7 linked regions of the Oryzias latipes genome follow. The protein of the gene in region 7 purifies or fractionates together with the protein of the main gene of each other region. This does not show direct contact. Links are inferred from orthologs where the notes say so. Each region holds a gene or a part of one and is shown on either strand. Other genes may lie near its edges. The genes, in order: ahctf1, nup160, nup37, seh1l, nup85, sec13 and nup133.

The links.
Region 1: the proteins of nup133 (region 7) and ahctf1 purify together in Homo sapiens (affinity purification with western blotting; 3 studies listed by BioGRID, with this or other methods). This does not show direct contact. The link is inferred for Oryzias latipes from reciprocal best matches to the Homo sapiens genes NUP133 and AHCTF1.
Region 2: the proteins of nup133 (region 7) and nup160 purify together in Homo sapiens (co-immunoprecipitation; 4 studies listed by BioGRID and IntAct, with this or other methods). This does not show direct contact. The link is inferred for Oryzias latipes from reciprocal best matches to the Homo sapiens genes NUP133 and NUP160.
Region 3: the proteins of nup133 (region 7) and nup37 purify together in Homo sapiens (affinity purification with mass spectrometry; 4 studies listed by BioGRID and IntAct, with this or other methods). This does not show direct contact. The link is inferred for Oryzias latipes from reciprocal best matches to the Homo sapiens genes NUP133 and NUP37.
Region 4: the proteins of nup133 (region 7) and seh1l purify together in Homo sapiens (affinity purification with mass spectrometry; 4 studies listed by BioGRID and IntAct, with this or other methods). This does not show direct contact. The link is inferred for Oryzias latipes from reciprocal best matches to the Homo sapiens genes NUP133 and SEH1L.
Region 5: the proteins of nup133 (region 7) and nup85 purify together in Homo sapiens (affinity purification with mass spectrometry; 5 studies listed by BioGRID and IntAct, with this or other methods). This does not show direct contact. The link is inferred for Oryzias latipes from reciprocal best matches to the Homo sapiens genes NUP133 and NUP85.
Region 6: the proteins of nup133 (region 7) and sec13 purify together in Homo sapiens (affinity purification with mass spectrometry; 4 studies listed by BioGRID and IntAct, counting the BioPlex papers as one, with this or other methods). This does not show direct contact. The link is inferred for Oryzias latipes from reciprocal best matches to the Homo sapiens genes NUP133 and SEC13.

Annotation. Positions count from the first base shown.
Region 1 is NC_019861.2:24,934,082-24,938,034, reverse strand, and holds the start of ahctf1 (protein ELYS), read right to left. Parts: upstream 2,801-3,953; 5' UTR 2,584-2,800; intron 826-2,583; 5' UTR 820-825; coding exon 699-819; intron 321-698; coding exon 170-320; intron 1-169. UniProt on the Homo sapiens protein: Required for the assembly of a functional nuclear pore complex (NPC) on the surface of chromosomes as nuclei form at the end of mitosis. May initiate NPC assembly by binding to chromatin and recruiting the Nup107-160 subcomplex of the NPC.
Region 2 is NC_019864.2:4,323,576-4,327,502, reverse strand, and holds the start of nup160 (nuclear pore complex protein Nup160), read right to left. Parts: upstream 2,801-3,927; 5' UTR 2,753-2,800; coding exon 2,662-2,752; intron 1-2,661. UniProt on the Homo sapiens protein: Functions as a component of the nuclear pore complex (NPC). Involved in poly(A)+ RNA transport.
Region 3 is NC_019881.2:20,075,347-20,079,628, forward strand, and holds the start of nup37 (nucleoporin Nup37), read left to right. Parts: upstream 1-1,482; 5' UTR 1,483-1,572; intron 1,573-2,581; 5' UTR 2,582-2,589; coding exon 2,590-2,745; intron 2,746-2,829; coding exon 2,830-2,951; intron 2,952-4,282. Other genes in the region: parpbp (PCNA-interacting partner), read right to left, coding at 748-897. UniProt on the Homo sapiens protein: Component of the Nup107-160 subcomplex of the nuclear pore complex (NPC). The Nup107-160 subcomplex is required for the assembly of a functional NPC.
Region 4 is NC_019874.2:7,224,059-7,228,249, forward strand, and holds the start of seh1l (nucleoporin SEH1), read left to right. Parts: upstream 1-1,391; 5' UTR 1,392-1,505; coding exon 1,506-1,616; intron 1,617-1,729; coding exon 1,730-1,780; intron 1,781-1,863; coding exon 1,864-2,010; intron 2,011-2,097; coding exon 2,098-2,309; intron 2,310-2,540; coding exon 2,541-2,639; intron 2,640-2,707; coding exon 2,708-2,848; intron 2,849-2,955; coding exon 2,956-3,110; intron 3,111-4,191. UniProt on the Homo sapiens protein: Component of the Nup107-160 subcomplex of the nuclear pore complex (NPC). The Nup107-160 subcomplex is required for the assembly of a functional NPC.
Region 5 is NC_019866.2:13,017,532-13,020,667, reverse strand, and holds part of nup85 (nuclear pore complex protein Nup85), read left to right. Parts: coding exon 1-16; intron 17-209; coding exon 210-280; intron 281-367; coding exon 368-411; intron 412-990; coding exon 991-1,060; intron 1,061-1,171; coding exon 1,172-1,293; intron 1,294-1,365; coding exon 1,366-1,500; intron 1,501-1,746; coding exon 1,747-1,869; intron 1,870-2,220; coding exon 2,221-2,352; intron 2,353-2,424; coding exon 2,425-2,531; intron 2,532-2,611; coding exon 2,612-2,695; intron 2,696-2,777; coding exon 2,778-2,843; intron 2,844-2,937; coding exon 2,938-3,089; intron 3,090-3,136. UniProt on the Homo sapiens protein: Essential component of the nuclear pore complex (NPC) that seems to be required for NPC assembly and maintenance. As part of the NPC Nup107-160 subcomplex plays a role in RNA export and in tethering NUP96/Nup98 and NUP153 to the nucleus.
Region 6 is NC_019863.2:32,815,987-32,820,279, forward strand, and holds the start of sec13 (protein SEC13 homolog), read right to left. Parts: upstream 2,801-4,293; 5' UTR 2,654-2,800; coding exon 2,651-2,653; intron 2,449-2,650; coding exon 2,404-2,448; intron 1,098-2,403; coding exon 982-1,097; intron 767-981; coding exon 615-766; intron 119-614; coding exon 1-118. Other genes in the region: cullin-associated NEDD8-dissociated protein 1-like, read left to right, coding at 3,541-3,608. UniProt on the Homo sapiens protein: Functions as a component of the nuclear pore complex (NPC) and the COPII coat. At the endoplasmic reticulum, SEC13 is involved in the biogenesis of COPII-coated vesicles.
Region 7 is NC_019859.2:2,082,579-2,085,222, forward strand, and holds the end of nup133 (nuclear pore complex protein Nup133), read right to left. Parts: exon of another isoform or gene 2,338-2,644; intron 2,191-2,337; coding exon 2,072-2,190; intron 2,018-2,071; exon of another isoform or gene 1,987-2,017; coding exon 1,906-1,986; exon of another isoform or gene 1,866-1,905; intron 1,830-1,865; coding exon 1,765-1,829; intron 1,677-1,764; coding exon 1,588-1,676; intron 720-1,587; coding exon 583-719; 3' UTR 501-582; downstream 1-500. UniProt on the Homo sapiens protein: Involved in poly(A)+ RNA transport. Involved in nephrogenesis.

The sequences.
Region 1 (3,953 bases), on a different chromosome or scaffold from region 7:
TGTTAACATTTTCTTTCTTTTTTTCAGAATAAAATATCAAATTAATTTTCCAAATAAAGACATAAAAAACATGAATGTTGAAAACTATTTTTATTTGTCATTATTGACTCCAATTTAAAAAATTGAAAGCAGATGGATGGAAAACAAAAAATTCTAACCAAGCACAAACCGTTTAAGCCAGCTAAAGTCCCTGGCAGAAAGAATTCTGGGTGGGTGCTCTCCTCCAGTGCTAAAGCAATACGCAGACAACCGCTCCCCCGTTACTGCATGGACAACCTCCAGATGGGGACCACAGGCAAGCCAAGCCAATCCAATGCGGCCTTAACATTCACACACAGAGAAAAGAGTCAAGAAGAAGAAGAATATATGTGGAGAAAAGGGCCTGTAGAAGTTAAAAGGTCTTTTTCCCCCTAATTATATACCTTGCTATGCTTAAAAGTTGTATTCATATTGGTTTGCAAATTTTGTGTGAATAACATATGATTTACACACTTGACAAGTCAAAATAAATATGAAATATTGAAAGAAAAATCAGACAGAAACAATGAAATATTCACAAGATAATAAACAGTATTAACTGCAATATTTCTAGTAACCTATTTTTCATTTGGTGAAAGATGTGACACGTGCAAGTACCCATTCTCACAAGAAAAAGGGAAACAAACAATAACAAAGAAAACACTGAAGCAAATGCTTACCAACAGTGAACCTGGCCTGCAGAACTGAGTCCAAAGTGATCTCATCCTCCCCAAGGGCTTCTATAGTCACTCCAGAGAAGGGCAGCAAGCTACTGGTGACTTGAGCAATAAGATCATGCATTGTTCACTAGGTAAACAAAAAAACAAACAAGGAAAAAAACAAGGATACATTTATTTGTCAGTACTGTTCAAATTTTGTAACCATGTTTACACTATTTTAGCAAATAAAAGAAGAAAAGTGACAGAAACTCTTACAGGATTTTTTGTGCCCTCATTTATGGAGTTTAAAAGAAGCCTGTCTTTCAGACAAGAGCAGTACAGTCAGTTGTCAGGGATCACACTAAAAGATGACAACTGGGGCTGAAACTCGAGCTTGATTTCTAACAAACCCACCCATAAACATCTGTCTGTGCATGTGAGCTCTCTGACAGCTAGCTCTTACAGAAGACTGTAGAAGAAGAAAAAACTTAAATAAGTCAGAAAATTACACAAAGCAGACTTTACTCCAGCTATCTCTCCCTTAAAATAAAAAAGTGAAATACAGTTTAATTATTGAGGGTGTATCGTTTTATAGTTACTTTCATTTACTTGTTACCAATATAAATAAAAAGTGCGCATGTTAATGTTATCTACTTATGTGTTTAGATTAGATCCTTTCATCTTAACACGTGAAGTATAGAAAAACCACGTGGCGGGGTCAGGGGGTGGACAGTCAGTGTTGTTAGGACGGAATGCTGCCCCCTGTGACCATTAAAGAAAAACACAACGAATTCAAGTTAACTCCCGCGCAACAGGTCTGTCATCGACCGCCACGCGAGAAAGACGTGCGGACAGTAGAAATATCAAGAACACTAAACAGTAAATGAGCTCAAATTGACCGCGATTTCTCAAACACACGAAAGCTTTCACAGTAGAACACGTGTCTGCTAAAATTACATACAAATCACCTACAAATGCTAACGACTGAAATCACATTTTTTTCTACGCCGTAAAAAGCCGAAAAAAGCTTTGCCTCAAAAAACACGACCGAACATTTATGTGGAAAAAAGACAAGAAAAGCTATAACGTTTAGATTCTAAACCCTGGTTAATTTTTAAATTGTTCCGTTTGCTAGGAAACTACGCATTAGCTTCTGGTACTACACCGCTAATGCTAAAGCTAAGATCACAAGACGTAAACAATCTACTGTTTGCAGGGTTTAAAGTGTTTTGTTACACACCGACTACCTCAACATGTTTAAAACGTGCTTCTAACCTAATAAAGTAAATATTTAAATGGTCAAATGTGTGTATCAATAACCGCGAGCAACATTTGTGAGCTTATTTGTTAGCATGCAAGGTCAAGCAGGACTCTTATTCGTGAGCTAGCATTTAAGTTAACATAGCAGATACCGTTCAAAAATAGATTAAAAAAATTATTAAATAAGCATTAAAATAAACTAACAACAATCAAATCGTGCTGGGTTTTTGAATTATATCTGAGTCACGCGTTGAGTCGGTTTGGTGATAAACTAGCCTGGCTTGACTGAACCGATATGAGCAAACGCAAATAGCTAACTAGTTGAGTAACATGTTAGCTGAAAGTGTGAATTCAAAATCTGATTAGTTTTTGGCGACTGACAGCCAAATTTATCTAGTGTTAACGTTCTAATTATGTGAATGAATCTGTTTCTAAAACAAGACATGAAACTTAAATCCTTCTATTATCGTAATCTTTCGAACTACAACTAACAGCTCAAACGTACATCACCCTTTTGCTGCAAAACATACATGGATTAGTTAAGCGAGTTCACTGAGTCATCATAGTAATACTAAGTAACTCAAGTTAGTTTGTTAGTCTGGAAAACGTGATGGTTTAGTTTAAGCCGCAAGGCGCTCTACGTTACCTTTGGGGAGAATGCAGGCCTTATAGCCGCAGTTCGTCTGTTTTTTCTGGAATCCGTGTAGATTCTTTTCGTTGTCTGTCATAATCCGACCTCCTATCTAGCACTAACCGTATAAAACACGCCGCAAATAGTTCTAGCTGGTTAGCAAACACCCAATGCTTTTCTGACTTCCATAAAGCAAAGCGCCATTTCGAGTTTTCTTCTTCTCCGACAAAAAGGCTACAGAGAAAAAGTGTTTTATCGCCCCCTTCTGGTAAAACACATAGTGCTCTCTTGTGTTTTTCCGTGACAAAAGACAACTAGTCCAAGTCGACGAAATAGTGCATTGTAAAAGCACATTTAAGACCGTTTTATAAATTCAATTCTGCCATTTATTGTGTTTCAAAAATGCACTTAAAATATCGGAATATGTTAGTGTCATATTTAATATAATATAATCAGCACTGATTACTGGACAAAATTGTTCTACAATAGAATATATATATATATATACACACACACACATGTGACTATATATATATATATATATATATATATATATAGAAGAAAATATATATATATATATATTTTCTATATATATATATATATATATATATATATATATATATATATATATATATATATATATATATATATATATATATATATATATATATATATATATATAGAAGAAAAGACTAAAAAGACTAAAACATTTTCACCAAATAGGGACCTTACAGTTTGAAATCTAACTGACACCACTGGCTACTTTAAACCTCTAATTAGCCAGTCTGCCTTAAAGACTCTCACTATTTCATTATGTGATCATAATAAAATAATAATAGGCACCACACTGAACATAAATAAGAAAATTTAAAAAAAAAAGTTGTTTTGGGGGCTAGAAATGAAATAGACAAACATTTTAAAGATAAATGCAACCAGACAATCTCCATACAGCTTGGTGTTCATGTGACCACAAGTCCATATTTTTTAAAAGCTGATAACCAACACGATTATAGACAATTTCCTTTAAAAAAGACAATTTAGACAATTTCCTTTTCAAAAACAAAATAATTTTTGACAAATTAAAGTTACAAATGTAAATTGGAGCAAAAGAGTCCAGAAAGAACCCCTAAAGACATAAAAAATGAAATCTAATGTTCTGGTCAGTCAGATTGCACCCTTTGTCGCTGTTTGAGCCAAAGCGGTCCTCATGGAAGAAAAGTATGACGAAATTAAACTGTAAAAGCAAGATTGGAATTTGCTATCATGCAGACTGACGAGCCACAACTTGTCTGGGAAATTGTCTTAGGTGAAAATTTTGGAGGGGACGCCCACTGAATGCTCTCATGCTAAAAGGTTTATTTACCAAGTAAAGAACACTCTCCCCA
Region 2 (3,927 bases), on a different chromosome or scaffold from region 7:
TGTTCTGTGAGGAAATGAAAAGTATCCCATTGCAATAACATTTTCATTAAATAGTTTATTTGCATTTAATTTTATTATAAAAGGTTTAAAGGTTGCAAACCAATTGGTTGGCCCACATAGATTTCCACTCAATAAATCTGGGCCTCTTTGCGAAAAGTTTGGATACAGCTTTAAAGTTTGGACACCCCTGCACTAAAGCAATTTGAAAACAGAAAGAGAGACGGGAAGTTTTAGGTTACTGTAACAAATAATAGATGAATCGATTTCTATTACTACGATCCAATTAGATCGTTCTGTCTGAGGCAAGCTGTTAATTGAATTGACCTAGACCAGGGGTCGGCAATCCAACATGTTGAAAGAGCCAAATTGGACGAAAAAAACAAAAAACAAATGTGTCTGGAGCCGCAAAATATTAAAAGCCCTATTTAAGCCTTATAATGAAGGCAACACATGCAATATGTATGTATATTAGCTATATTAGCCTACTATCAAAATGACTAAGTTGCTACAAATACATAATGAGCATTATTAACGATTAAATGTTTATTTACCCTGCAGTGCAGTCAGCAGAGAACGACGCGTCATGTGACTGCTCTGCTGTGCAAGTTTAACTTCATTACAATATCAATGAATTATGTTTCATTGCTTTGATTAAATTAAAGAAATTTAATAAAGAAATCCAATTTTTGATGTCATTTTTATTTTGAGGATTCGAACAAAAAACAAAAAAAAATGGAACGTGCGTGACTGGGAACTAAACAGAGTGCAATAAAACGCAGCCAGCATTTATAAAAAAGAAAACAGCAGCCTTTTGAAAAGGTAAAGTATATAAAATCAAATTAATACAGTTAAGTTTGATTTCTGTGCAAATGCCAAGCAAGTCAGTGCAAGGGTTCACCAGTTCCACAACAGTTCACCACTGGTGTGGAAAAACAACAGTGGACTGAACTTTAGGAAACTAACATGTGAATGGATTTGACATTCATCCTGGTTTACTTGTTTGTTTGGACACAGATTTCATTTATACTTGATGATCTGGAAGAAATCCAAGAATCTGGAAAACTTCACTGTTCAGTAGCAGGAATTTCTGTCTGAGTCACCATTAAGTCAGAGAATCTGATCGATCAAGATGAACCAAAATTGACTCTGAATCGTATTCAGAACCACAAATTAAGATATGAATCAAATCATTGTTAAAATGAATCTTTACACTCTTATTACTGAATGAATGATTGCATGAGACATAAACAGGAATCATAAAGCTACTGGTTCCATAATAAGTCACCTTCTCTAATCACAGCAGGTATTTTATCATAGAAACCTTCAGCCTGTTGCTTCCTTTTCTACTAATTCTTAAGCTTAGACAGAGTGGACCCACCCCCAGAATGAAGACGGTTAAAGCTTTTACAGATTTCTCTTCTCTATTTGAGTAATCGGCTGTATTCCAACTCTCCTTTGCATCCATTTGGTTTTCCTGTAGACCTCTTTCCTGGTAGCTCCAGCTCAGAGCCACCATCTCCATGTTATCTTTAACATCTTCTAGGGCTGCACGATGAGGAAAACTTGCGACATGTGATTTTAATGATCAATATCCTGATGACGATATAACAACCATAAAACATCAATTCCGTTTCACTGCGACAGTTTAAATAAGAGGCGACATAACTTAAATTATACTCCAAATGACCTTCGTCCACATATGAGATGAACATCTAACATTAAAGGGCTCCATCTGATTGGTCAAATGCATAAATGGATTTATTTGATTGGTTAAATACTTCAAGCTGCCATAAGATTGTTTTGGCACATTTAAGGTCACCATTTATTGCAATTTTCGCCGCCGCTTGCGATATGCATATTTCACAGCTTGATACTGCGATCACAATAATTTACGATTTATTGTGCAAGCCTAACATCTTCCTTTCACTCATCACCTCCAGAACATCTCACCTGTGTCTTCCAGCTCTCATCCATGTCCTGAACAACTCCAACCTTCTTCACTGTCACTGCAAACCACAGCTGCTGTCTCTGGATCATCCTGTCATAGACTTTCTCTGGATCTACAAAGACACGATGCTGCTCCTTCTGATCTTCCCTGTTCTTCTCCAGAAACATCCTCAAAGCAAAGAAAGCATCTGTGCTTCTCTGCATGAAACCAAACTCTTCACAAATCTGTTCACCTCTAACCTCAACCTAGCTTCCTCTACTTTCTCAGAAACTTCATTCAGTTTTATACCTCTGAACGTCTGAATCCTAACACGTCTCCATTCCTCAGACATCTTAGCTCATGAAGACCTTGACAAACAACAGTCAGAAACTCTTCTTCTCCCATGATCCATCTCTCCGGTGCAGGTTGGTAAACCGGAACACGGCCGAGCCAGAAAGAAAGTTAACATAAACGCAACAACTCTCCTCCAGCTTCGCCTTCTCAAAGAAACAGACGGTGGTTCTGACTGAAGCATTTTCAGCGGGTCTGCTCTGACCCACTGACGGTTTTTTGGGATCTGAGCAGCAGCGGCGGCGCCGCGCGCACGCGGCAGTACACTCCAGGCGTGTGTGATGAGGCTAGGCCCGAACAGTTCGCGCGGGTCACACGCTCAAGTTCGGGTCCGGTAAAGCCGGTTGGCATACGATCCGGTTTGTGATGTCAGCTAGGCTCACCTGTCTGAGTCACGGTCACCTCTCGGAAACGGCACGCGCCGCTTCGCTCGAACCCGCAGATCTCGATGTAGCTGCGGTCCAGGGCCGCCATCTTGTCTTCGGGCTACGGCGCGCGCGCACAGACTTCAAACTGCCGCCGCCTCTTTCTTCTTCTTCTTCTCTTCTGGTCACTGAGGCTCCGGCGCCCCGCTCGGTTACACGAAGAACTCCTTCATTACATTTATTACCTCCGTTGGGGTCGAAAACTATGGAAGCATTTGTGTAGCATAATTAAAAATAAAAGTCAAGAATAAAAGTCAAGAACAGAAGTGATTTTTCATTTTCAAATTGAAACTGCATCAAATAGGTTGTTGTGTAACCCTTGTGCTATCCTAGGCACTTTAACATTGGGAGTGGGGTCATCTAGACCCACTAGACAGAGCTCTGAACCTTTTTTCTTCAATGATTTGTGATCTTCACTGGTGTCCATGGATTACATGAAATCTTTCCACCTTTATCCACCTTTGTCATGGTAGGGAGAACACGTCAATGTAAGGGGGGGGTCATCTAAGATAGAACAAGGGTTAACCCTCATGTGGTGTTCGGGTCTGTGGGACCCGTTTTCATTTTTTATCAAAAGAAAAATGATACAATTAATAAACTTTTCAAACTCAGACTCACTGGCCTTGGCTCATTTTCTGTGAAGAACATATATCAGAATACATTTTTAATGACCACACACCGTATACCCCCCCCCCCCCCCCCCAACACATTTCTATTACATACAAGATGTTTGGGTCCACTAAACCCAGGGCTAATAGAAGTGTGGAAATTGATGTTTTATGTACCTACACTCTGTCCTCCACCTGCCTGGGCCTGCTGTGTGTGTGTGTGTGTGTGTGACCAGTGAGAAAGAGAGAGAGAGAGTGGCAGAGAGAGAAAGATTCACTGTAAATGTGAGTTCTGTTTCTGCACCTGCGGTTCCCGCACAAGGTTGCAACATTGTTAGAATAATTCAAGCATCAACTCTGCGGGCGCCTGTGTTTGGCAGCGGAGCCGCCACCAGTGTGTGAATGTGTGTGTGACTGGGGGTATGGGTCTGTGACTGTAAAGCGCTTTGTCCTTGTAGGAAGAAAGGCGCTATATAAGTATACGCAATTTACCATTTACCATTTAGATTGAGCATCAGCCAGTTCCAAAACGAAGCCATCAGCACCCAGCCACAGGACCAGGCCGTCAGCAGCCAGGACCATGTGTTGTACAGGCTAGTGGCTAGAAGGCCATGTG
Region 3 (4,282 bases), on a different chromosome or scaffold from region 7:
CAAATATGTTTTCTATGCAACTGTAATTGTCACTTTAAAAAGTTATAATAAACAAATAAATGAGTTATTTAACATTGAGGAGTAGGTACATTTGTTTTTCATTACATTTAGTTACATTTATCATTTATATCTGGCCCATTGAAGACAACCACTATGCCGATGTGGCCCTCGGTGAAAATGAGTTTGACACCCCTGGCCTAGGTGTTCACCCTAGCAATATACTGATGACCTTTGTAAGAAGGGACAAAGTTACCACCAACTTCTGAGGAGACGGAGGTGGTTTGAACTCTGCTCAGGACTTTTTCTGACTCTGTGCTTGCCTCTGCTCCCCTCTATGCCGTTTTTCTGCTGGGAAACGAGCAGCACCGGTACTGAATAGGCTGGTCAGGAGGACCAGGTCGGACTCGGTGGGTGAGAGGAGGATGTCAATCAACCTCACATCCATCCAGGACAACAGCTCTCACCCACTGCAGCTGACTGTGAAGGGACTGGGAGGTTCCTTCAGCAAAATATTCAGACACCCCTAGTGTAGGCATGAATGTTACCGCAGGTCATTTATTTCATCAAACTGACCAACTCCTCTGTGTAACTAGGTCATAAAAACGGTTTATTTATGTATCTATTTATTTACTTGCTTGGTGATTTGTTTTTCTCCAGAGAGGCCATGACAGGTAAATTTCTCCTCTGTGAGATTAATAAAGTGGAACAGCATTTATACATTTAACAGGAAAGAGCACAGACTACTACCTTTTTGTTAACGTCGGCCATGGCCAGCTGAAGAACCATCAGCATGCTGTCAGCTCCATGAACCGTGGTCCTTTCAGACTGTGAAACTCTGTGGCGTTCCCTCCTGAAGGTTTTCACCATCAGGTTAAGTCTTTCTCCTAAAGCTTCCATTTTATCCTTAAGTAAGAGGTTACAGAAGACACAATAAATACATCTATCTTTGCATCAAACACGTTATTATTTAGAGCAAAAAATGCACAAGAAAATGGTCAACTCAAATGATTTTTGCACTGAAGAACAGTAACCTTGTTCAAAGTACCCCCCCCCCCCAAAGGTTTTGTATTCTCAGCTTATTTAAATCCTCTATAAATATGTATCTGTATAAATATATATGCGTATAAGGTTCAGGTATAAAAAGTCACAATAATAAAAATAAAATAAAATATTACCTATTTAAATAAATATTCAAACCTGTTGTGGTGTTTCAATGTTTCTGCCGAACTAGGCGCACACCGTAGAGCAGCTGTTTTGAAATTTTAAATGACGATGACGTTTAACACCTTCTAGCCAATCAGATTTCAGCAAACTGCATCGGACGCTTCCAACAATAAAAAATAAATCAGAATCAAATGTTCAAACCAGATTGATTATATTTATGTTTAGGAACATATTTGTCGATTTATATTTTTGTTCCAAGTTTTCTAATGTTGTCTATAATTTGATTCGTTTATCTTTTCGTCTTTCAGTCTCCCCTTGGTTTTTTCCAACTACTGGTACGTTCCGTGTCGTATGCGGAAATAAATGGTAAACACTTCAAGCGCGGGCAACTAGGAAACGCACGCGCCGGTAATATATGTATTCTTAGAAGAAATAAGCAGAAAATTATTATTTATGAAAACTAGTCTGTGCCTAGTCGGTTTAAAACAAAACAGCGCCATTCTTTTTCGTATTAGCTTCTAGCATCGTGGTCGCTTTCTCTTTCTGCTCCTGCGAATAAATAAATCGTTTTCTCTTTTTTTTAAACTCGTAAATTTATCATCACGGGAAAAGAAAATATTGTTCTCTTTGAACATTTAAAATGTACTATTTTAATCCTGTTAAAGTTTCTGGTTTTGACGATACACTATTTGTATTCTATTAATCTTGCCTGCTCATCACATTCATTTTTAGCTTAGGCTAAACAATACCAGAATTGTGAGTGTAGCTTGTTAAAAATGCCCTAAAAGAGGCAAACTTACTGCATATTTGCTAAAGAGCAACAAGCCAATATTTTAACTTGACGTGTTAGTCCTCCAGTCTGGTATAGATTCTGATTCTTGTTTAGATTCATCTTAAACCTCTGTATTATAAAATAAAAACACTAATACAACCTATTAAAGTATAGTATATATGTACTGTTTTTAGTTAAAGTAGTTTGGTGCAACAAAAAAAAGTTGTTAGAGGCAATAGAACTGCATTACTTTTATTAACCAATCAATATATTGAGGGATATATTCTGCACTAATCTGGTCAATTTACCCATCTGTATATAAAAAAAACTTTTTTGATCCAAAGCTTATTGTTACTTTTTTTTTATTGGAAACATCTTTTTTACTTCTGATTTTGGTAAATTAGAGTACCAAAAAAAGATATGAAGTAAAATAAATAAATAAGAGTGCTGGGAGTTTTCATATAAACCATCTCTTATGTTAACATGTGGAAAGAGTAAAGATCAGTAAACTGAGCAAGAGGAGCTCCGGAGATGTATAAAGAAAAAATGTTAAAGTTGTTACTTTTTTCATGCTTGTATCTCTTTTTGTTTTGTAAAAATGAACAAAAATAGGAATCTGTTTCCTTTCTTTCTGTTGTGTGACAGGGATAAACATGCAGGAGGAATCTGTTCGCAGTCCCTCCTATACGGTGCCGTGTGACGATTATGTCCATGTGGTAGAATTCAGTCCTTTCAGCTCAGGGACCTCGGCCTCCCTCCTGGCCTATGGTGGGAACCAGTTTGTGGTGGTGGCCACCTGCCTTTTCCAGGTTTCTGACACAGATTGACACAGCACAGTTTGGAGGTTTTTTTTTTTTGTTGTCACCTTAATGACACCAAATGTGGCCCTGCAGGAGGAGGACATGGAGGTGGAAGGAGTCGAGTTTAACGTCCTGCGAGCTTTTCATCATGATTTGCGTGTGGATGCTCTGGCTTGGAGCCCCGAATCCCGGCTGGATAGAATACCCACTCTCAGGTATCACCGTTTGATAAGATAAAGGGGGATCATTTAATGTATCCATACTACAGAATAAATGTGCAGGAGAACAGTCAAAGGAGATCAATAGGTTTGTTTTCAAAATCTACAGTTGAGGTTGAAACTTGGAAGTTAAAGCAAAAGCCTTTATGTTGTCTTTGATTTTGTAGAATAAAATCTTTATGCGGCTGACGGTTAGACGACCTTGCTGGGAACTTAAAACTCTTTCTTTTGTTGCGTATCTTTCTTTCTTTCTTTCTTTTTTATTGTTTGTTAAAGTCAAAGAATGTCAAAGAAAATAGCTTTAGGTGATGGAACGTATTTGAATTTGCTAATTTGTCACTCATTTATATTGGTTTTCATACTATATTTCCATAAACCTTTTCAAAATTGCTTAAGAATAATCTTAATGGATGCTACGAAATGCATCATTATTGCAAGCCCGGAGCCTAAGACAATGATTTTATTCGGGACATGGGGCAGTAAAGGTTTGTGACAACAGCTGGTAGGTACTACTCTGTAGATGCTGTCCTGTGTTAATGCAGTGAGTGGAGATGATGGAGGGCAGCACATGCTGCTCCACCACCAAGAGAAATCCGAATAATACAGGCTTCTAGTCGTTAAAAGACTGGGAATATTTGTGTTTAAGTGTTTGTGGTGTTTAAAAAGTTGCCATAAAGTATCCAAGTTAGCAAAACCTGTTTAAGCTAGCCATTTTATCATCATTTATTTTGTTTTTGTGTGTTTTGTCCACCCTCCTTGCTGTAGATTCATCAGAAGAAAAAAAATTTTTTTTAGGAGCAAACTGAAATATTTAGAAAAATTCTGAACCATCCAAACTAAGGATTGTCCTCTTTATCTGAACACGTTGGCCCTCAACGATTCTTATAGAAAGACTGACTGTATATATGAGATCTGGACTGAGTGAACCCTCCCCGTTTGGGTTCCAAACAGGAAGTACCTGCTGGCTCCAAGAAGCCAAAATCCCATAGACTATTAATCAGTCATTCTATTTTCCAGAATAACCATTCTTGCACTGATGCCTTTTTTAAACTGACCAATAAGAAGTCTAAAAAAAAGTGGGTGGTGCCACATGCAACTCTTGAAACCTTTGACAGATTTTGTGTAGCCTACTTCTAAGTGCTAGGGGTGTGGCCTTCTAACAACTGATTGGTGAGAGGGATTACCATGGAAATGTTGACTCAGACCAACTCTAACCAATCACTGCTTACCCATGACATCTGGCTCCAACATGGCGGCGTCTGGATTGTGGAAAAAATACCAACTGAGTTGACTTGATTTGATTTGATTTGAGCTGGAAGTAAGTCATT
Region 4 (4,191 bases), on a different chromosome or scaffold from region 7:
ATAGTTGCTGCAGTTCTGCATGTCACCCTTGTTCTTAAAGATCGGGACCAGAACGCTTCTCCTCCATTCCTCAGGCATCTTCTCACTCTCTAGAATCCTATTGAACAACCTTGTTAGAAATTCCACTGCTGTCTCTCCTAGGCACTTCCATACCTCCACAGGTACGTCATCAGGACCAACGGCCTTTCCGCTCTTCATCCTTTTCAGAGCCTTCCTAACCTCATCCTTTCCAATCTCTGCTACTTCCTGCTCCACAACAACCACATCTTCCTCCCTTCTTTCCCTGTCATTTTCCTCGTTCATCAGCTCCTCAAAATACTCCTTCCATCTTTTCTGTACACTCTCTTGGGTTGTTAGCACCTTTCCATCTCTGTCCTTAATCACCCTTATCTGTTGCACGTCCTTCCCATCTCTGTCTCTCTGTCTGGCTAGCCTGTACAAGTCCTTCTCTCCTTCCTTTGTGTCTAACCTGTCATATAGCTCATCGTAAGATTTCTGTTTGGCCTTTGCCACCTCTCTCTTCACTCTACGCTGCGCTTCCTTGTACTCCTGTCTACCTTCCTCAGTCCTTTCTACATCCCACTTCCTTTTAGCCAACCTCTTCCTCTGGACGCATTCCTGTACTTCCTCATTCCACCACCAAGTCTCTTTACCGTCTTTCCTCTTTCCAGATGACACACCTAGCACCTTCCTACCTGTTTCCCTGATAATCTCTGCTGTAGTTTCCCAGTCCTCTGGAAGCTCATCCTGACCACCCAGGACCTGCCTCAACTTCTGCCTAAATTCCTCACAAGTTCCTAAATTCCTTTAAGACGTTTTGTTCCTGAAAGTATTTGGAGGAAAGCCTGGAGTGTGACCCACAAACTTATGATAAGTAATAAAATGAAAGAAGTTTCTCTTAAAATAATTCACAGAATTTACCCCACCAATCAATTCATGATAAGATACATTAAAACAATTGATCCTAATTGTCCTTATTGCAAAGAAACAATTAACCGCTTTTTTGGAATTTTACTGAGATTAGAAGTTTACAATTTATTGAAAAACAAATCCACCCCAACTTTACTCTGAAGTATGAATATATCATATTTGGTTTTCATAATAAAAACTTGGCCTCTAATAAAAAACTCATAATTAATCTTATTATTATTTTTGGCAAATTTTATATTCATAAACGTAAATTTCCTTCATCTTCTATTTTTTCCCCTTGTTAATCAAACAAATTGAAATGTATATCAGTAACATCTCCAAAAGTCTTAATCAGAAAGCTGTATGTTTATATGAAAGTTGTAGAAACCTGAATGTTTTTATGTAAAATGCATGTAATATGAATGCTCCCCTGGCATACCTGAAGTTTATTTTGTAAAATTGTGTTTTGTATTGTACTTCCGTTTTGTACAATAAAGTTAAACAAAAAAAGCAGGTCTCAAAGCTGGATGATTTCTGCGGTAGGCCTGCTAACGCGCTGGTGAAGCTATCGCTGGCGGCGCGCTGCTACCGGGATCATGTTTGTGGCTCGTAGTATCGCGGCGGATCACAAAGATCTAATTCACGATGTGTCGTACGACTTTCACGGCCGGAGAATGGCGACTTGCTCCAGTGACCAGAGTGTGAAGGTAAGCTAACGTTAGCCTCTGAGCTCGCGCCCGCGGTCCTCGACTGTGATGAACCGTTCCCGGGCTGCCGCGCGGCCATGTGTCACATTCAGAGCTCTGTTTGTTTTTCTGAGGTTTGGGACAAAAGCGAGAGTGGAGAGTGGCTCTGCACAGCCAGCTGGAAGGTAAAACGCCTCCATCCTCACGCCGAACTCCACCTTCTGTGCTGAACAGATGTGAGCCTCCTCCTCCTGGTTTCTCTCTGCAGACACACAGCGGCTCAGTGTGGAGAGTGACCTGGGCTCATCCAGAGTTCGGGCAGGTTTTGGCCTCCTGCTCCTTTGACCGAACCGCTGCGGTTTGGGAGGAGATTGTAGGAGAATCCAACGACAAGCAGAGAGGCTTGAGCCACTGGGTCAGTGCTGGGTTGGGAGCGGGCAGTTGCAGCGACAACCTGCAGCAGGTGGAGGTCATGTGAGTGTTTCTTGCTTCTCCATTCCAGATTAAGAGGACCACACTTGTGGACAGTAGGACATCAGTGACCGATGTGAAGTTTGCTCCTAAACACATGGGTCTGATGCTGACCACCTGCTCTGCGGACGGCGTGGTGAGGATCTACGAAGCTCCGGATGTGATGAACCTGAGCCAGTGGTCGCTGCAACACGAGATCTCATGCAAGCTCAGCTGCAGCTGCATTTCATGGAACCCCTCCAGGTTATATAGCTTTTTCATATTCTGGATGAGCTGACCAGACCATAAGTTTGATGGAGGTTCAGTTCTGCTCCATGTGTCTGTGAAGCTGGGCACAGAGTGTCATTCTAAGTTTCCACATGGCATTACACACAAACGAAGAGCACGTCTGCGCCACTGCCTGATGACAGGTCGGAGTGAAGGCAGGAGCGGCGGATTTCTGCTGAATCATCTCATCTCATCATTCTCTCCCAGCTCACGGGCTCACCCTTCCATGTTTGCCGTGGGCAGTGATGACAGCAACATCGCGAGCGGTGGGAAGGTTCAGATCTATGAGTACAACGAAAACACACGGTGAGCGTGTTCAGCACACAGCGGCCAGAGATGCAGCGGCCTCCTGACACTTCCTGTTTCTTCTAAAGGAAATACGGCAAAGTGGAGACTCTGATGACTGTCACCGACGCAGTCCACGACATCGCGTTCGCTCCCAACCTGGGGAGATCTTTCCATGTTCTCGCTATTGCAACAAAAGATGTCAGAATATTCAAGCTTGCCCCCATGAGGTGATTGTCATCATCATGTGTTCTGGTGCATTTCTCGAAGCACACAGCTTTTGAAATAAAAGGAGGAAGAAAATGAACAGAAAATGTGTCTTGGTTCTCTGGAACAGGAAGGAGAGCTCATCCACCGGACCCAGCAAGTTTGAGGTGCAGATTGTTGCGCAGTTCGACAATCACAACTCCCAGGTGTGGCGTGTGAGCTGGAACATCACAAGCACCCTGCTGGCTTCCTCTGGGGACGATGGCTGCGTGCGGTTATGGAAGGGTAAGAAGCTGGTCCACCTTCAGCAGGAACACAGACGGCTGCCGTCTGTCGGCAATCGTCTGCAGTGCAGCGACCGTTTTCTTATTTTCCTGAGATGGGTACATGATTAATAGAAACATGGCCTCCTCTGGAGGTTCAGTGTTGGACCTCTAATGCTGCGCTCACAAATTTGCGTTGGCCGCTTCAACTGGAACAAATGTCGGATTCGCTGCTGGCTACCTGTCCAAAAATAGGTTCATAATTGTGACGCATGTGGGAGGAGCTAATGTTTATTTGCCTCATGCGTCTTCTACATGAAAGCATTGACTGTATTTGTCGTTTACAATACATGGACGACACAGAAGTTGAGAGATCAAGTCAGTTTATTTTGAAGAGCTCTACTCTCGCTACCTGATGTGTCAACGCATGTGCGCAAAATACATAAAAGCATTTTACGGTCAGAGTATGTCTTTAAATATTAAATGATGATAAGCTCTTAAATGTTTCACAAAATGTACTGCATGTTAACATTTATTTTAATGTTAATGGGGGTAAAACATGGTAGGAAAAAGAAATGTACAGTAAACCCTTGTTTTTCGCGGGGGTTACGTTCCAAAAAGAACCCGTGATAGGCAAAATCTGTGAAGTAGAAACCTTTAATTTTTTTACAATTATTATATAATTAAATAGTCTATTATACATTGAAAAGAAATAACAAACCATTTTACAGGCTCAAGCATTTGTTTCACAAATAAAAGTACTTTAGAAACGTTTTTTTTTCAACAAATAACTTCTGTACTGTACTGTCAAATAATAATTTTAATCATCGATGTGAACAGAAGGCTTCAAATTGCGGAGATTAGCCCCACCCCCATGACCCAAGTAATTGGATTAAACGGGAGAAAATTTTAAAATGATTATGAATAAAATACAAAGTACAGTCGGACAAATAGTGACTCAGGTGTATTTCACTGCTCTGCAGACTGAGCCGCTGCATCCTGACTCCGCTCTGCAGTGTTTTCTTCTTTTGAAGCCCGCGGTGCAGCTGTGTTTGTTTGGGGGAAAGAACATAGTGATAGGAAGATGTTGTTTCTCTTTTTTC
Region 5 (3,136 bases), on a different chromosome or scaffold from region 7:
AGAACAAGAAACCTCAGTAAGTCTCCTGATGAGAGACCGCTCAGCTTACACAAATAATTAGTTTTTATTGACATTTTCTTTTTAATTTTTTGATCAGTGGGATGACATAAAGATTGAAAAAGAAAACAGGCAAAACATCAACATGTAACTATTTCATGTCAAACAGTGTTAAAGTAAAAAAAAAAAACAATTCCTGTTTTGCTCTATAGGTTTGTCAGCATCAGTAAAAACTATAGATCTGTTATTCGAGCCTGTATGGAGGAGCTGCAGCAAGTTGCAGGTTAGCTTCTTTAAACTGAATCATGAAGTGTATCTTCGAATCCTACAGTGTAGTTTTTTATAATGGCATGTACTTTTTTGTTTGCAGTTTCCACAAAAAACGCAGAGATGTCCGTACAGTATGGAAACCAGGCACGTGTTTTTATTCTTTAGTTTCATCTTTTCCTTTTTAGAAATTGTGATTAGTTTAATTTTTTAACTTATTAACGTATAATAGTTTTTTTCCTCTTCTTTTTAATCTTTTTACTATTCGTAATATTTTTTTGTTTCCTCGGATGTGGATTTTAGTGGTCTGTAATAAATACAATTCAAATAATTTTGTGTATAATTTGTTCTTAGGAATTAAAAAATGTGTATTTTTTTTAATGATTTTTAAATCAACCAAGCAGACGTCGACTAGTTTTGATGTTATTTCAAACTGCATTTGTGAGATCTTATTATACTAGAAATGTCTTCTGTATGATCTTGAAACAAACTCTTATTCATGTCGGAGCTTGTTTATTTTGGATTTTTGCTTGTCGGTACAAATATAAATCATTACTGATCTTTTTTGTGGGTAAAGCTGTCATTGTGCCATTATAATATGTTTTAAATGACATATTTTTGTTGCATTTTAAATAGTCAGAGCTCATCTGTATTTTAACCCTTGACTCATCAGTAACATTTCTCTTAAATATTATTTAGTTCCTAATCCAGTCTGTTTTGTTGCAGGTCTCCATTCTTTTAGCTATAGAACTGATCTGGAATCTGTGTGAAGTCCTTTTCATCGATGCTGCTCCTGGTTAGAATCTCAGTTTTTAGTTAACAACAAAATATCTTTTATTATAACTAAACAAAGGCAAGGCTCCATAAAAACCCATTCATGATTGATGTGTGTTTTGCATGCTTTCAGCCGGCTCGCTCCTGCTTCACCTCCTGGACTGGGTGAGGCTGCACAAGGCTGACGTAGACGAAAAGGCTCGAGACGTGCTGCAGAGTGACAGCCCTGCTGAGCATCGAGACTACTGGGATGTGGTTAGTGCGGGACATGCACACACACGATCCGCCTCCACTGGAGATCTCTGAGAGTTTCGTTGTGCTGTGCAGGTGGTGAGTTATGTGCTGCAGGGCAGGTTGGACGAAGCCAGACAGATGCTGGGGAAAAAGGCCACCCTAACGCCTGCTGCAAACAACATCTACAAGATGATGGATAACTTACTCAGCAAGATGCCTTTTTACAATGTAAGTACAATGGGAGTTATCTGGTTTTAGTCTGTGGGTTAAGAATGACTTATGGTCATTTACCTGCCATAAAGGTTAAATCTAAGTTGTGGCCTCCTTAAGAGGAGTTTGCACGACGACTCCTGCATCAGTTTCTTTCTCTGTTTTGGCTGAGGGACTGGTGACCTGCCTTTAAATGTGTTCAAACACATAACGAACCAAACAATTTCAAAATGTCCATTTTCATCCTCACATGTATGTCTTCAGCCTGGTGGCACACAGACACTGACAGAGTTTGACGTTAAGTGGAGGCACTGGCATGAAGAGGTAGACCGCTGCTTGCAGGACAACTCTTTTGCTAGCAACCAACATCTGGAGGTCATCTGCAAGGTCAGTCCATCCGTTACTACTTTTTATGCTATCGTGTATTTTCAAAATGCTAACATTGTTGGTACTAATGTAGGCTTTTCCTAAAAATACGCCCGTTTCTGTTAACAGTTTTAATCACTTCAATTCTTGCTAAATCCCAATGGGCTGATATGATGCATGCTCAAATTATGAAGCTATCGCCGCCATGCTTCACTGTAGGCAATTTCTGGGATATTAAATGTGTGTTTTAATTTCTAATCTGGCACCAAAATACATTTTAGTCATTTAGCAGCACCAGATTAATAAATTGGTGCAAATGTTTCAACTATATGATATAAAATGTTTCAATAATTTCTGTTCTTTATTTTTTAGATCCTCCTGGGTGATGAAGACACTTTACTGGAGCACAAAGACCTCCTGGGAACCTGGTATCACTTCCTTGTCTCAAGACTGCTGTTCTGTCATCCCACTGTAAAGCCCACTGAGTTGCACTACTATGCACAGGTGAACTATTCTACAAAACTTGCACTCATGTCTGCTGCATCCAGATATTAAGTGTACCTGTGTGTTTTGCAGTCGTGTATGACCATGTTTCTGGACTCAAGGAGCGCACCAGAACCTCTGGACAGCATCTTGCTGGCTGCCTTTGAGTTTGACATCCATCAAGTTATTAAGGACTGCAGGTGCAACAATGGGACTGATGCATGCAAGTACACTTATTTTAAATCTACTTTAAACATTCAATTTCTTCCTTTTGCCTCAGCATCGCTCTCAACAACTGGTGGTTTGTGGCTCATCTGACAGACCTGCTGGATCACTGCAAACTCCTCCAGTCTCACAATCTACAGTAAGAACCCTGTGTGCAGATTTAGTTTTTTAGTCTGGAGGTTAGGACTTCTTTTATTCAGTGTTTTTCTGTGTTTTTGCAGCTTTGGTTCCAATTTAAGAGAATTCCTCCTGTTGGAATATGCCTCTGGCCTCTTCACTCATCACAGGTTGGTTTGTTTTTTAAGTCCTCCTTTTAATTATTTGAATTTTTCTGTGAAGGTTTTCCCTTAAAGGATGTCTTTTTGTTTGTCTGTTGATCAGTCTGTGGCAGTTGGCTGTGGATTACTTCGATCACTGCCTCGAGTTTGGTCGTGTCTACCTTGAGCTCCAGATTGAGCGCGTTCCCTTAGACACGGAGCGGAAAGCACTGAAGGTCCTCCGCATTTGTGAACAGAGGCAGATGTCGGAGCAAGGTTCTAAAAGACTCTTTATTCTGTAATCACCTTGGTTCCAGAAATAC
Region 6 (4,293 bases), on a different chromosome or scaffold from region 7:
ATCTTTTTCACGTCCCACTGCTGATCTCCAGTTAGGGTGAGGAGGGAAATGGCTCCATCGGAGCTGCCGCAGGCCAGGATGAGGCCGAACTCATAGGGACCCCAGCAGACAGAGTTGACTGCAAACACGACAGCAGCAGCGCCATGAACACAAAGACGCGGCCGTTTACCGTGGTCACAGTGACTCTTCAAAGGTCTTCTTTTACATTCTACCCACTAGCTCTTCAGCATAATCAGCGGAGGTCAGCCGATTCTGTCGCAGACAAAAGCAGGAAGTGTTGCATAGCGGCCTTAAGCGATCAGTTCAGCTGATTCCTGCTGATCGCAGAAACAGACGAGGATTTACGCTTCGTCAAAGAGCACGAGCCGCCGGCGGCGTCTCCGCTGTCAAAAGCACGGAGAACGTCTCTCCTGCTTTCGGATCGGCTGAAGTTCCACAGCAACACAAACAACAACCAGTAAAAATGATAACAAACACAATCTAACTCTGGTGTGGAATTACAAACACTGAGAATAGGATAAGAAATGGCATTTACCATAAACACCTACAGAGTAGCTGTAATGGAATGAGCTGGAGTTCTAACACTGGATGAGGGGAAACATTCCCTTACTGACCTGAGGACTCGTGTCCCGTGTACTCGTACATCTTGTCCCAAGCTCCGTTCTCCTCCTTCCAGACGATGACCTTCCGGTCGTAGGAGCAGGAGGCCAGGATGTTCCCAAACATGGGGTGGGCCCACGCCACCTGCCAGACGGGCCCTTCATGGCTGAACGAAGAACACAAAATCTCTCACACGCGAGTTCAGAGTAGAAATGAACTTTTCACGATGAAAGCCGTTTGTGTTTCACGATATTTGTCAGCGTGTATTATACCAGCATAAAGAACATTAAACTAGAAGTTATTCTTCTTGGAGAACACCCACCTGCTGTTCTTTACTGCATTTAACAGAGGATAACTAAGACTTTTCTGAGGATGACTCACCCTCGGAGGTCTGCCACTAGAATCTGTCCTCCGTTCCTGACATCAAAGATCTTGACAGTGCGGTCAGAGGAGCATGTGGCGAGTCGCGTCCCGTAATAATCCATCTGAGCGTCATGCTGAAACACAGAAACATGTATGTGTTCACAGCCAGTGAAACCATTTCTATGTGTCTGATGTTTCAAATGGACATTTTGAGATTGAAAGGGAAACACGTATGCTGGTTATGTCAATCATTATACTGGCACTAAATGAAGGCACAAATCCAGAACTCCTGGATCTAAACCTTTCATGTCAGCCGTTTGAATCTACAGCACCTCTGGATCAGGAAGAGGCTGTTTAAAAACCACCTAGAGAGCGGTGGTCTTCCAGCTGAAAGGGTGACATCATCGGCGTGTGAAGGTCAAAGGTCTTTAGTACTAGTAGGTAGAAAGAAACACTGCAGAAAGGCAGGTCGTTACATTTGGATAAAGGGAAGATTTCTGAGAATTTAACTCCTAAAACCAGAATAAAGACATGAAGAGAACTTTTCAACACGTGTGAGTATTTAGACACGCCATCACTTCCCATCCAACTCACCTGAAGATTTACAGATGCATGAATGCAGATGGGATGCAACTGCCAGGCGTGTCTAGTGTTTAAGTGTATACAGCACAGCGCTTTTAATACTAGAACAAATCATTTTTAATTGAGGATCCTCACATCAGTGAAATCAGGGGCTGGAGGTTGATTTAGATGCTTTTATGCAACAGACAACTGCCTCAATGCTATCAAGAATGAAACATTTTGATGTTGAAGGGAATTCATCCATCCCGCTCAGGATTACAGGGTTGCTGGAGCCTATCCCATCAGGGTTCACCCAGGACACTTCACCCGTGCATCACAGAGACACACAACAACACACATGAACCTTTACAGCATGTCCCTGGACTCGTCAACAAAAAGTTATGTGTTCGTACTTTTAGAACACTGTGACCTCTGATAGGTTGATAACATGTTTGTCTTTCTTGTATGTTCGTTTAAAATGAAGCCCGTCTCTATGATCATGTGTTAGGCAAACGTTTCCCTCTAAAATCATTAAGGGTATCATTCAGGAACAAGTATCACAATAAAATCCAGCCTTTCTGATAAAAGTGGGTCATTTCTTCTAAAGAGATTAAAGCACAAAGAACAAGATGAACTTCAAGAAAACAACAAGACAGACAGAAAAAACACGTTTCCCCCACAAACAAACCTAAGGATAAATGTAATTATAAATCAATATTAATGATTAGTTCCAAACGATAACGATACAGCCCCAAAATAGAGTAATCAAACCACAGTAAAAGTTTAATTGTAAGAACGGATAAACGTGTGAAACAATATTAAACAAATTCAATGTAATTATCCATCCACGGATAGCATAGTGGGAGGTCAAACACTTACAATCATGTCCTCGTGGGAGGTGTCCACGGTGTTAATAACGGAGACCTATAGATTAGAAACAGCAGAATTTTATTTGACCTGTTCATAAAAAAAATAACCATCATTGTTTTTATCTGCAGTGCTAACGCGTCAGCTAGTATTTCGGCTAACGGGAGCTAGCTAACTGTGAGTCTTAGCAGGCAAACGTAAACTTTAAAGATGTTTTTAAGAAATGCTAAAACCATTTTTATAAAGTATTTTAACCAACCATCGCTGCTGTTTAACCCAAAAACCCTTCAACAGTTTTCTGGTCGCTTAGCAATGAATCGACCGGGTTTACAAACTACTCCGACGTGGCAACAAGTACCGCAGACCGCTTCCAGAGCCCGAGACTTGCTTCCGGCGGAAGTGACGCAATCGAAACGTAAGTTCCGCCTACACGACAACAACGCAAAATTACATTTACAAAGCCTGTTGATGCAACGACAGGGCTGCTCCCTGTTCCCTTCTCTGTCTATCTGTCTCTCTGTCTATCTGTGCCGGTCCCAAGCCCGGTTGCTTTGAGAAGGTTGCGTCAGGAAGGGCATCCGGCGTAAAACATTGCCAAGTTTACCATGCGACTTGTTCGCTGTGGCGACCCCTGATGGGAAAAGCCGAAAGAGGAAAAAAAAAAAAAAAAAAAAAAAAAAAAAGTTGATGCAACGAAAGAAGAGTCAAAACATCTTCCTGTAAAATAACAAAAGGTATATTTTCACATTAAACAATCTAAATTTATTTGGGACAATACTCACACACATGAAAGCCAATTAAAAAATAAAGTTATAAATCAGAAAACAATCTATTTACAAAACAACCTTGTATGTTATTCAAACAAATTCATGGCAAACAGAGACTGTAAAACTTCTCTTTACAGTCCATGGTTTAGGATTTCAAAACGAACTCGGCTGTAATGCTCGGTTTGTCCACACGAGGGAGACATAAACCAGAATAAGTGTGCTGTATTTTTAGCTGACCCTGGGGGTGTCAGGTTTAAGGTTAGCTCCGCTTTCTGCCCACCAGCCTCGCCATGTTGTCAGGGTGAATCTGGTTCCCCAGTTCCATTGCTTTCCTACAGATTTAGCATTTATCGGCGTCCGTGTCAGCTGTTAAAGAACCATCATGTCTAACGTGTCCTACCACATCTCCAACCTGTTGGAGAAAATGACCTCCACTGACAAAGACTTCAGGTAAAGTAAGAGACAGCTGCTCATCAGCTGCTCATCAGCTCTGACAGTGAGACCCTTTTTACTCTGACTCGTCATTCGATTGTAGATATTTCTTTTGTCAAAACGTTTGTTTAAGACACTCTGAGTAATGAATATAAAGCAGTGAATGTTAAAGTAATGAACATTTTAATTTAAAATCTGATCAGAGACTCAGAGGAGAAAAGACAGTTATTAAAAGGTTCTTTTTTTACATTTTGCTGAAAATGCAGATGTATTTAGTTTACTAACATTTAAAAAGTGCAAAATTCAAATGACAAAGAAGTGAAAGTAAAAGTTTCATTACACACACATCATGAAACTTGAACACAAACTTTAGAAGTACAACAAGAAGCGAATCCTAAACTCAGGTGTTTGTGTACAGAACGAAACCTTTAAAACTGTTTTAGTTGATTTCTTTGTAAAGATTTGTTTATGTCACGCTTTTGAATCCAAACTATTTCAATTATTAAAATCAAATCACAACTGAAGCTTCAATAAAGAATATGAAAACAAGAGGCGGCATCTCCAAAAGTTGACAACTTCTACAGTATTTTTAGAATAAAACGTTAGACTAATCATGGCCTAAATCTATGCACCAAAGTCACAATTCAACTTAAAAAATGACAGCATCTACAATATGTCCCGTCAAACAAACATGTTTATGTAT
Region 7 (2,644 bases):
TTCATGATAAAAGTCTGCATTATATACACTGATCATACATGATATCACTCCAAAAAAAGATGTCAGTGTTTCTCATTAAATATAAACAATAGAGGAAAACAAGAACAGGAACACCACTTCAAGTTTTTATTATAAACTCTCCTCCTGTCATTTTTGTCAGCTTGCATGAAGCACAGAGCTGTTTTTTTCTAGATTAAGGCTTCTTAGGCAGATTACATTTGTCAGGATTGATGATTAATCCAACCTGCTTTCCGTAGTTTCAATCATCTGCAGCTTTTCCAGCAGAGGATCTCAGCTAGAGCACCAGAGTCGACTTATTTATAGACGAGATCTGCTCCACGTCAGCCGACGGCAGAAAGCCCTGAATGATGCAGCGAAGCGTCTGGAGATCTTCAGAGTCCAGAGATAAAAAAGGCTTTAAGGTTTCACTTTTGACTTCCTGGGAATTGAATAGAGGAGTTTTAGGAAGTGCGACTTATGGAAAACAGAACAAACGTCACTGTAGGTGCAGGAATACAAACGCGTTTATTTAGAAAAGAGCATTTCAAAACAGGGGAGAGAAAAGTCAAAGCTGTGCTGCCGTCACATCTGAGCCTGCAGGTAATGTTCATAATTGGCTCGAAGGACAAACTCAAAGTACGGTTTGGTCTTCAAACTGCTCAGCTCGTCCAGATCCAGCAGCTCCTTGACGTCAGGCAGGTACGTCTGCAGAGAAACACCTGAGAAAAAAACAACGAAAGGTTAGTTTGACAGAACTTCATAAACCTCCACAGAGACGCGCTGGGACTTTGTCTGAAGCCGTGACGGACGGTGTGATGATGTTCCTGGAGCTTGAGGTTCACCTTTAATCTCTCTTTTGTTACAGTTTATATCATCCTTCTCTTTGGTTTGTCATCACTTTTCTTCTATTGGCCCTGACCAGGGAGTTGGCTGCAGTCCCATGGATCTTACATTTCTGAATAATAGCTTCAACTGTAGTCACAGGAACATAAGGCTGCTTGAAAATGATGTAGCCTTTTGCTTTCACATGCTGGTCTGTGATTTTCTTGTTTATGTCCTGAGACGGCCTTTCCCACGTTGAGTGTGGTGCACGCCACGCCACCCTAATGTAGCCCTTTATATAAGGCCACTGACTGATGACAAGACTGTAGACGCCCATGAGGCTAATGAGTGGACTCAACAGTTCCCTTCACATCATTTTCAGTCTCTTCTAGGGGTATCATCCTTTTTGTCCAGGCCTGTTTCATGATTTAGTTTTATATGTATATAATTCCGCTGGTTAAAAAGGAATCTCTGACCTTCATTGGTTAAATTTCATAGAATTTCTGTTTATTATCACTTTTGTCAGATTCAAGTTTTTTCTGTGACCATTGTGAGTTTTGCTTTCATTAACTGAGTGGTGCCAAAAATTTTGTCCTCTTATGTATTTTAGATATTAAACCTTAAGATTTGAAACCATCCTAATCAAACCTGATTAGGATTTTTTCCCTTATTAGTTCAGAGCCAAAAAGCTTTAGGATCCTTTCGTTCATCTCAAGCTGACATTGATACTCCTGTTTTTGTGTTGACCCGATGAGCTTTTCTCACCTTCCTGCATGAGTTTGAGGAGGATCTTGACGAAGATGCTGTCTTTAGCAGCTTCCAGAGGATCATCGTTTCCGTCTGCAGTCGACCAGCTGGAAACAGACAAGTGTGACTAAACGGTAACAGCCAGTGTTTCCGGCGACGCTCCTGTAAGTTACTTCTAAAAAAACATGAACTCACTCGTCCCTCTTGAGAGCTTTGCCAAAGATTTCACATTTTAACGCCTCGATGTCCACGGCGTCCTCCTGCAACACAGCAAATCCTCATGAGTCCACGTTAGAACGGCAATAAAAAAAGAGTTTAAATCAAAGCCGACGTGACCTCTTCCATGTACTGCAGCAGGTCCAGAGCCTTCTTGAAGTCGTACTCGTTGGCTCGTCTGTTGTCGTCGCAGATGTACAGCTGCAGGGGAGACCAAGGAAGCGTTCGACAGGTGAGAAGAAGCCCCGCCTTTCAATGCAAGCTGCGTCCGTGTGTGTGTGTTCACCTGGATGAGGCTGTGAGCGTTGAGCAGAGGCATGGTGTCCGGGTTCTGCTGCTTCTCCTCCAGCAGCTGCCGGGGCAGAGTCTCCTGGTGGAGCAGGAAGCGCTCCTGCTCCACGATCTCTGATCAGACAGAAGAACCACAGCAAATGTGGATTCAAGTGGGCCTCAAGAACCGGCTGGACCGCTGCTAGATGTTCTGAATGGACTTTAAGCCATGTCTTTAATGGAGCCAAGCATCATGTCATTTCTCTTGGTTGTTTATTTTAGGACAGGAAGCAGAGCAGAAGATGCTGAGGTTCTCTTTGGAACCAGGAATGGGACATGAATGGATCCATCAGAGGAACAGATTATAGTCTGGAGATCAGCGCAGGGAAGCAGATGGAGACGTTTGAGAGGAGAAACAGGGAGGATGCTGGGAAAGGATGCTGAGGGTGGAGCTACCAGGAAGGAAGGATGGAAAAAAAAGGATGCAAAGAAAGAAAAAAGAAAGAAAGCATTTACAGAGAAAGAATAAAAGACAAAAAGATGAAAGAAAGGATGAAAAGACGAATGAATGATCGTTAAATAAACTTTA